Drosophila melanogaster: one gene and its partner. The protein of the gene in region 2 binds, or shares a complex with, the protein of the main gene of each other region. Each region holds a gene or a part of one and is shown on either strand. Other genes may lie near its edges.

Region 1 (6,287 bases), on a different chromosome or scaffold from region 2:
TTCGGTTAGCTAGATCTTCCCGGCTGTTGATCCAAACTCAAAAGTGTGTCCTTTGGCCACGCGAAATTTTTGATTGCGATGTGATTTTTGCTCCGGTGCCAAACCGAAAAATTTCAATAGGACCAAATCGACCACGCAAACCAGCTGATTGCCTCTGACTACCAGGGCTGGCGATAGCCGCCCACGAAACTGGCGCGTCCAGTGCTGGCTAACGACCAACTATCGCGATTTTGGCGTTCGAAAATTAGTAACGAACATATACGATTATTTAAGGAATAAATTTGGCGGCAACCGCATAGTAACCTGTTTTTGAATACATTTGCCTTGCCTACCATGCTTTCTTTTCAGAACAGAGAAATTAAATTTAGCCAATGCATTTTATTTGAATTTTGACATTCAGCATACTTTTTAGTCAACTTATTTATTATATTAATTTTTTTCGCTAAATTAAACAACAAGTGGATGTTCTTTATGTTTATTTATGGCCTAATCACATTGTTCTTCAGAAACACAAAGCTTGCCAATTTCAGCTTTAGTAATATATCATATTCCATTCATGCCTTGGTATCGAATTTTTTACAAATCTTCCCAGAGTATTTATGTTTTGGATTTTATAATGATGGTTTCTATGTTTAATTTGTATAATTGAAGCTAAACAAAATGTTACAAATATATGTATATAAGTGCTATTTCGTTTCAACTGTGATCGCTAATTGGACAAATTACATATTGTTGGTAATCGTACCATCTTCTCCTGGACTAATAACAAATAGTAAGTGTATCATCTTGTTTCTGAAGGAAGGGGACACGGGACGTAGTCTACAAATACAATAGTCCGCTGGCAGCGGCGTGAGCCATCAAGGTGTTGGCCGCCTGCTGAGTCTCCAGCATGAGGCGAGCCTCCTTCATCCACTCGCCGGCAATCTTGCGCGATGCACCCTGCAGCAGATTCATGTACTTGAGCGCCTGCAGAAAGTCGCTGCGATCCACATGGTACCTGTGAAACATAATATATATAATATATATTATATAACTCTAGTGATAGATGAATCAATCGCCTCACCTGGCCCTGTTTAGGATATCGTAGGTGTCCAGTTTGCTATAGTCGAAGGGTTTGTTCTCGAGTTCGTCCTTGGATATGGGATTATCGGGTCGCAAGATGAACAGCGATTGCAGATAGGACAGGAAGTAGATGGGCAGGCCGGCTCCTTCCTCGGGCACCAAAGCCAATCGTCGCGCCACGCGCTCCACATTCAGGAAACGCTCGCGCAATGCATCTTCTGGATAGACACCGCGCTCCTGAGCCTCCTTCGGGACGCTTTCCAGCACAGCGGCCACCAGGTCGTCACCCTCTGTAAGCATATGCATTTAGCAACTGAAATCGAAATGTGGGAAACGTTTCAACTTACTAGCCACCTTGGCAATGGCATTGATCTCGTTCTTTAACGGGCGCAACCTATCCTTATAGTGCACGCCAGGAGTGGCAGCGCGCACGGAGGCCCACAGAGCTTGGCAGGCGGCCCAAAGGGCCTGCGCCTGATTGGCAGTACGCTCTGCATCCGCACGCTCTGCAAAAATGTTGCATATAATGTCAATAAACATTTTGATTAAACCAAGAATAAGTTGGTATAAGTACTACCCTTCATATAGGGTGAATATACCTTGAAACTCATCCTCTATCTCTAATATAGCAGCATGTTTTGAAAAGGTTTGAAAACCATTATATATCTAGCCACGCTACACTAGCTACATTCAACCGATATCGTTTAAAACGTATAACTTACCTGCCAGAGCCGCGTCCATTCCGCGCAGCTTGCCGAGCATCCCGGCCAATTGTAACTTATAGTTGGCCTTTTCGGTCGCCAGCTTATCCTCAAGTTCACGCTTAAAGCTTCGCGTCAGATCGGTCTCCCGCTGCGCCACGATGTCCTTTATATGATCGGCGTGGGCCTCTGCTTGCTTTTTGAGCTGCAAGCGCAGCAGCTTATCAGACTCGGCGTGGATGTGGAAGATTTTCTTTTGATTTTCCACGGCCAGTTTGCGCCGCTCGGCCTCCAAATGGTATTCCAGTTGGGCGCGCAAAGCCTCCGAATCGTTGTCACCGCGAACCGAGTCAATAGCTCTCTTCAGGCGCAGCTCACCATCGGTTTGCAAGCGCTGCAGCTCCTTCTGGTAGGCCAGGACATGGGTGTAGGCGTGCAGGATGAACAAGTCTAGGTCCTCCTTTGACAGATTAAGTTTCTTATCCGCCAAACTGAGGCCGGGGAAGATAGACTCGATCTCGTCAATGAAGTAGTTTCGCGCCTTCTCCACATTCCGCCAGTACTTGTCTGACACGCTGGCCGTGTCCTTGTGCCGGTAAAGCTCGTCCTTTACGTTGCCAATGTGGTCCACAAGCTTCTTGATCTTGTCGCGCACTGCCTCTACTTTCTTTGCGTTTTGGGCCGTTGCCGCAGCACTCAGGGCGATCTCGCAGGCGACTGCAGTTGATAGAAGGGAATGTTACTGAAATTTGGAATCTATTTAACAAACAATGGACTTACCAATCTTCTCCTGAGCCTCACGGGCAGCTCGCTCTGCCGTAGCCACTGCCGTATCACGGGCACTTGCTCGATTTTTCAGCGTGGTCCAAAGAGAGTTCTCTCCATTCTCTACGGCCTTGTCTACAACCTTACGGACATCGTCATTAAAGCTGAACGATATTTGATTAAATTTAAAATCACGCAACGAATAGTTAACGAGAATTGCTCACCCTTTCAAAACGCCAATAGCGACGTTGTACTCCTTGACGGCCAGTTGAGCAGACAGCTCGATGGCTTTCTCCAGCTCAACAACATCGCGGGGCAGCGGATTATCCTTAGGCTTGGCAGCGGGCGCAGGCGCTGCTGCTGCTGCTGGCTTCGACACTGGCTTCGCTTCAGTCTTGCTGACTTCGCTTGGTTTTGAGGGTCTCTTTTCCTCAGCAGGAGTGGCCTTCACGGGCTCCACTTTGGACTTCTTGGACTTGTCATCGCCGCTGCCGCCGCCAAACAGGCCCGTCACCTTAGATGTAACGGAGTCCACCGTGGACGTCACTGTCTCGATGCCAGACTTGACCTTATCGATCTGATCGTTGACGTTCTTGGTGATGCCCTTGAATGGCGGTTCCTCCTGCAGAGCCACCTTGATGACGGATCCTGCGCCGGGTACATTCTTCTCCACCAATTTGCGGAAGTCGTCGTCGTATCTGGAAAAGGATTTCTACATTATTCGATGGTTCATTTAAGCATTTCAGGTGCAATAAAATGTGTACGAATTTTTGTTGATCTACAGGTGGACTGCCTATCCTTATCTTAAACCTCTATTGTGGCTCTATTTACTTGGCGTAGGTGATGACACCGCCGACAGCTGCCAGTGGTGAGACGAAGAGGACCACTTTGCCGAAGCCAGCTTCGCGCATATGCGGTGGCAGGCTCTGGTATCCTTGATATCCTTGATCGCCTTGCTGTCCCTGCTCCTCCTGCTGCCGCCTGCCCTGTTCCCGGCCGCCACTTCCGCTGCTGCTTCCGCCGAATTGCCTGTTGTTTGCGGTCGTCTGCTGCAGCGTACGCTGTTGCAATGAAAGGTAATACATTTAGGACCATCACATTTAAGGAAATTGGCAAGCCCGTTGATACCCCCGCGCCCTTGGTCAACTGGAATTTTGGAGCTTTTCGCCCAATTCCTGGGCTTGGTAGATGACATAACCAGCGCCTCTTGTTGTATTTTCGCCAACCGCTTGTTTGTGGGCGCGCGGGGGTGTGGGGCAACGTGACGATCGATTTTCACGTTATCAAATAGCTAGAAATGAATGGGTCAAAAATTCACCTGCAGGGCGCACTTGCACTGATCTCGCACCGCTAGCCGATACATGGTGTTGATTTTGCTGTGATCCTGCTCTGCTCGTGCTCCTGCTCCTTCGGCTACCGTAAATTTCAAGTCCCGGCGGCGTGAATTAAATATTGCCCAATTCGTTCGAAGCTGGCTCGACTGCGTCAGCGCTGGTGGGTGAATGGCTGGCCAGTGCTGCTGCTTCCTCTTCCATTCCCCACACTCCCACGCACACGCACACGAGTCCTGCGTGCTGCTCGTCGTCCTTTTCGTTTCGCTTGCCCGCGCCACTCGAATTTGATCACTCAATTTTGGTTTGTGTTTTGATGGAAAAAGTGTCGGCAACATATACGCATGTACTCGATAGGCCAGTCAAAATACATTTGATTTGGAGATGGGCGCATAAGTTTAAGCAACAATTTTTATAACAAGTTTTAAATTGTCAGAATTGTCAGTGTTCTACAAATGGATTACATGGTTAAGGGATCCTTTTGCCTTAATTGTTATCAACGAAAAATTGAACTTGATCCATTCCTTGGGTGAATCCCAAAACATTTGCGATAGTTCTTATGATGACCGGTTCCCATCTCCAATAGCAAGCTAATCTATGTTTGTTCGCTGTGAATGGCACACAGCTGACTGTTACGCGATTCGATAAGAAGAAGAGCACCTGCGTTTTGTATGGAATTATAGGTTTATCTTTGTCGTTTTAAGTGAAATGCTAAGAACTTTTGTGACAAGCGGTAAGTTGAAGTCAGCTAATAGGGCTTACAAGTTTACGTTACTTTAATTGTTCTTAACTTTCAGCGCTGCGAAGCGTTTGCCGCCAGTCGCCGGCTGCATCTTCGTTGGTTCCTCTGGTCCAGCGGACACAACGTGCCACTTTGATGACTCTATCCCGTCCGTGCCTGTTGCCCACGCCATCACTGGCATCTCCTGCTCATCACCAGCTCCTGCAGCTGCCGGGTGTGCTAGCAGCCACAGGAACACCATCAAACACACGCAACGTGACCAAATTCTCGCTGGTGAAGGGTAAACGAAAGACCGTCAAGGCGGTACTGAAACGTTTTAAGCGCCTGGACTGGGGCGCCTGGATACGCACCCATTCCGGTCGCCAAAAGAAGCTCTTCAAGAAATCCGCAGCTTTACGACGCCGCCTCAAGCAGCACGTCTTCACCAATGCCACGCAGAGCTGGCTGCTGGACAAGATGGTCACCAGCTATTGGCGGCGCCCAAAGCATTTCATCAACGATCCCTATAAGCCCTATCACAGCCGCAACGAGTACTACGCCACACAGTCAAAGACCTTTAAGGTGTGACCTGGCTAATCAAAGATACTACATACTTGAATTAAACAAAACCAAAATATCTGATTATAGTTTATCTATTGAAAACTACAAAATCATCTATTAAATGCCATTGTTTCACTAATAACACAAACTTTACAAACACAACAAGCCAAATGAGTTGACAATCTTAGGGAGCCACAATCTTGTTGCACAGCTTGCCCAATCCAACAATCTCCGACTGCACGACATCACCGGGCTGAAGGAATTCCGGCGGAGTGCGATGCATGCCCACGCCCTTGGGCGTTCCGGTGACTATGATGTCGCCGGGCAGCAGGGTAATGGTCTGCGACAGACGATTGATCACATCGTCCAGCTTGAAGATCAAGTTGCCGGTATTGCCGTTCTGCTTCTCCACGCCGTTGACCCAGGTTTTCAGATTCAAGTTGTAAACATCCGGCACCAGACTCTTGTGCACCACAGCCGGTCCCAGCGGCAGAAAAGTGTCCATCGACTTGCCCATAAGGAACTGACCACCGTTGCGTTCCTTCTGCCAGTCGCGGGCGGAGATATCCTGGGCCACCGAATACCCGAAGACATAGTCCATGGCCTGCGATTTGGGCACCTGGCGGGCGACCTTGCCAATGACACAGACCAGCTCAACCTCCCAATCGATTTTCTGTGGAATTTTTTTTTGGTCGGTTGGTTATCTCGATGAGCCTATCTCTTGTTATCTCTTGCTTCACTTACGCTGCTGGCCGCATGAGCGATGACATTATCTTGAGGACCCACCAGGGCATTGTTAAACTTGCTAAAGAACAATGGTTCCTTGGGGGTCGGCTTGTTCTGCTCATCGCAGTGGTCCTGGTAGTTCAGACCTGCAAGCAGATCGAGAATACGTCATTTTGAAGGTCAGGGTCCAACTACATATGTTTATACATATGTATGTTAATTCATTCTTTACCAATGCAGATGATCTTGCCGGGATCGGTAAGAGGCGGCAGCAAAGTGACATCATCATTCACCTCGAGTCGCGGCTGCTTTTCGGCCTTCTTCGCCAGTTCCTCCAGATTGGGATCCTGGGCAATCAGGATCTTTAGATCGCTGGGCACACCCTCCAAGCCGGCAAATTCCACCAGCGACTTTTGATCC
Region 2 (3,509 bases):
CTCAAACATCACATTGTTTACAGCAATAATTTCGTGTTATCAGCGAGAAGAAAGATGTACAAGTGATATCAAAACACTTGTGTGGGAGAACTTTCGGATATCTGACATGTTGGTAATACAGAAAACAACCCTGTTCACGTGCTTCGAGAAGACTAATCATCGTGACAGGTTTCCTCAGTTTTATAGCTGACAAAATATTAGATCCAAATACAAGATCTAATAGTCTGAGCTGGCGCAAAAACCGGAGCGGTAGTGGGCTAATAAATCAGTTTTCTTTGCACCGCCCTGTTTGGGGAGTGTGCTCTGACAGACGTCTTACGTGGACACGAAAAGATCTTAATTAGTGGAGCGCAAAAAGCAGCTTGCCTGGATATTTATAGAAGCACATATCACTAAAGTAACATGGTTATTTTTTAACTACACCGAAAGAAGTCAGAATAATACACAGATCATATATCATACTATTAAAAGATTATTTTAAGGATTACGGTGCCATGCTCTTCTTTTTCAAATCATATCTTTCCTTATTGAAATACGGTTGATCGATTTTTATAACCGGTAATATTTGTATATATTAAATATTAAATACCATTTTACCTGAGATTATCTTCAAACTGCAGTTTCTTGCCGTGCACCCAAATGAATACATCATCGGTTTAAGTGCGATCTTAACGCCTACCACGTAGAATTGTTTATTTCTAAACTGGACGTTCCAGTTCGATGCGTTTCAGTACGTCGAGAACAGATCTATAGTCGCTTATCCGCTGGCGAGCGGATCGAGGAATAACGACACATTACAACGACATTATTCAATAGGCTAACTATGAGCTAACACGAAAACAGCCTGCCATTGAAGAGCAGTGGGTCAGGTTACTTCGGCGGACTGGACTCCGCACCGCCGGCGATGGCTGGGGATTGGGCAAAGTCCTGGAACGTGTCCTTGACCTTCTTGAGGCCCCTGCCTGCGTAGCAGGGCAGCATGTGGATGAAACGGAAGGTGTTCTTCACGCCCTCGTTGTAGTAGTGCTTGGCCAGGAAGCGCATCTCGCCGGTTTTGGGCAACTGCGGCACTTCGAAGGGCAGCTGCTTCTCCAGCTTCTGGACATGCGGGCGCAGCTCCGACTTGATGTCGTTGTACAGCTTGTCCGTCTGGTCAGAGTCTCCCCAGATGCCCACCTTTTGTGTGTAGTAGACGGTTGCGGCCACCAGACCGCCGCGCACTAGAAATCTGGAAAGGATTCGAAGAGTGTCAGGCTTACGTAAGCCTCAAGAGAAAGCATACGGACTTACCCTAGAACCATGTTTATTCGTTTGTTTTGGGGAAGAGAGAGTGACAGTCTATTGCGGTCTTTGGGTGTATCCAAACAATAGCAGTCTGGTCGTTTTCGTTCAGAATTTTTGGAAAATTCCTTGTTTTTCTACTTCATATTATTGTCGGAGTGACCGTGTCTACGTAGCAGTTAAAATCTGCCGCTTTAGTGTGACCAGTTAGTTATACATTTGATGTTTTAGCGAGGTTTCAAGCCATTAAAGTATTCTAGACACCCACCTAGCTCAGTTTTAATCCAAATTAAAAAATGTATTTAAAATTTGTTATCAATTTTAAATTATTTATGATTATGCGGTGAAGCATTTATTGGTAAGCCATATCTCTTTTCGAAGTATTGTTTACTAGAACACACAATGCATATTTATTACCCCATTTGTTTCAACCGAAATTATTGACATCATTTTAATATTAATTATTTTGTTTAACGATTTCATTGCATTCAAATACTATTTATAAAATATTCTTATTTATAATATATATTTGTTTTGAGTGCCTGATGTTTTTGTTTGGCCTCGCATTTATATATTGTTCCCTTTTGTCTAACCTTCATAACTGCTGGCCCAATAAAATTTTATTTTGGAGTTGAATTCATTTGTACTTCTGGGTCGAATTTATACATTTAAGGCATAAATTAGTATAGTAAATCCCCGATCCTTAGAGGGTAAGAAGGAGACAAATTTGCCAGGTTTTTCTTATCAATATAATGATTATAATACGTTGGTATGCATAGCCTTTAAATTTATTCAATTAATTAAATTATTCAAATATCTATCAGCCAACGTAATGGCTATTTATATAATTATGAAGTTGGAAGACTGAAGTTTAAGCTCCACGCCATTCCAAACTTGCTCTCCAAAAGGCGAAATCTTCAGTTTAAAATGGGATGAATATAAAATAATAGTTAGAAGAATTACAAACTAAAAAATGAATCGATTTTTTTCGGAATTGATTTGGTGTTTGTATTTGTGTATGTTTGTATATTAAAATATAATACTAATTAACCATAATTAGTTAAACTGTGTTACCACCTAAATTTAAATATAATGTATATATTTGTGTCACAACTAATTTACACATTCGCTGTATTATTATAATCAAGTATATTTAATCAAAGTGCAGACACAAAAACTACACTTTAGAACAAACCTAGTTCCAAAATTGGTATTAGCTAACGTTAATTGATGAACTGATGCAATAGTGAGAAATCCGCTGATTAACTCCGCATCGTTCTGCAGTTATTGTTCTCTCAAGCAGGGAAGCTTCCTGGACCGTCCTAGTCCGTCCTAGTTGCCGGCTTATCCAAGGAGGCTTCCGCCTTTGTTTCCCACTGAAATCTCATTTACTTAACAAGGAGCGGAAGGAGGCAAGGACGTAGCTACTACTGGTGCCCCTATGCAACGTGTTCATTTTCCCCGCGGCATTGTTCCAATTTTGCGACACTCGCTGCAGTTAAGAGGATTATTGCCTGGCGAACAAAGAATGGCAACTGCCAAGGTTTGTGCCAAATTTATTGAAAAGTCCCGATTTCAAATCGAGTGAGAAATTTAACGGGCTTCCTCTATTTTTTGCCAGTTTTCCACTGTTTTTTGCTGGGTGCTCCTTTTGTTATTTTTTACCCATTTTCGCGCCGCCTGTCGCTCTTGTCCTTTTTCCAGGTCGGGCGACAGTGACCCACGTGTCATCCGGGGTTGGCTACGCTTATTAATGGGCTCAGTTAATGCGTTGCGCAACCCCTTCGTGCACCCGAAAATTAAATTCCCCCACTCCCCTAGCGTTTTGGGTTAAAAAATTGGCAAGTATTTTTGCGCGAAAAAAAAATAGAGAAAATGTAATTTATTAATTTCGCACGGACGTGTGACAGTTGGTTGCATTCGCCTGATCCTTTATTTACACAATGAGCGGCGCACTGGGTGACCCTTTTTACCCCCGGCGCCCCTAATCCACGACCCAGTTAGATTTTTATGCGGAAAATGTCAAGAAAATGTTTGTTCCAAAATTCGCATTATCCACGGAAAATTGCAACTTTTCAGCGGGCAAGGGTTCAGCACTTACCCACTACCCCTTACCCTATAGCCTCTAACCCTTAACCTTACCCCTTTGCAGTCTCATGATAGAGGATTTCAATTTCGCATTCAGTTCGCTTCATTTGCGCTCGAAAGTAATTTGGGTGACCCCTCTC

What was found. The genes of interacting proteins can lie anywhere in the genome.
Region 1: QIL1 (region 2) and Mitofilin share a complex: the UniProt entries of both Drosophila melanogaster proteins name them as parts of the mitochondrial contact site and cristae organizing system (MICOS) complex.

What each region holds. Positions count from the first base shown.
Region 1 is NT_033777.3:22,019,041-22,025,327, forward strand, and holds Mitofilin (mitofilin), read right to left. Parts: upstream 4,035-6,287; 5' UTR 3,892-4,034; coding exon 3,847-3,891; intron 3,590-3,846; coding exon 3,360-3,589; intron 3,227-3,359; coding exon 2,753-3,226; intron 2,693-2,752; coding exon 2,544-2,692; intron 2,481-2,543; coding exon 1,785-2,480; intron 1,683-1,784; coding exon 1,662-1,682; intron 1,569-1,661; coding exon 1,410-1,568; intron 1,353-1,409; coding exon 1,064-1,352; intron 998-1,063; coding exon 820-997; 3' UTR 693-819; downstream 1-692. Other genes in the region: mRpL35 (mitochondrial ribosomal protein L35), read left to right, coding at 4,568-4,592, 4,657-5,168; CG6028 (uncharacterized protein), read right to left, coding at 5,326-5,814, 5,886-6,013, 6,100-6,287. UniProt on the Drosophila melanogaster protein: Component of the MICOS complex, a large protein complex of the mitochondrial inner membrane that plays crucial roles in the maintenance of crista junctions, inner membrane architecture, and formation of contact sites to the outer membrane.
Region 2 is NT_037436.4:17,463,918-17,467,426, reverse strand, and holds QIL1 (QIL1), read right to left. Parts: upstream 1,483-3,509; 5' UTR 1,302-1,482; coding exon 1,291-1,301; intron 1,229-1,290; coding exon 871-1,228; 3' UTR 659-870; downstream 1-658. UniProt on the Drosophila melanogaster protein: Component of the MICOS complex, a large protein complex of the mitochondrial inner membrane that plays crucial roles in the maintenance of crista junctions, inner membrane architecture, and formation of contact sites to the outer membrane.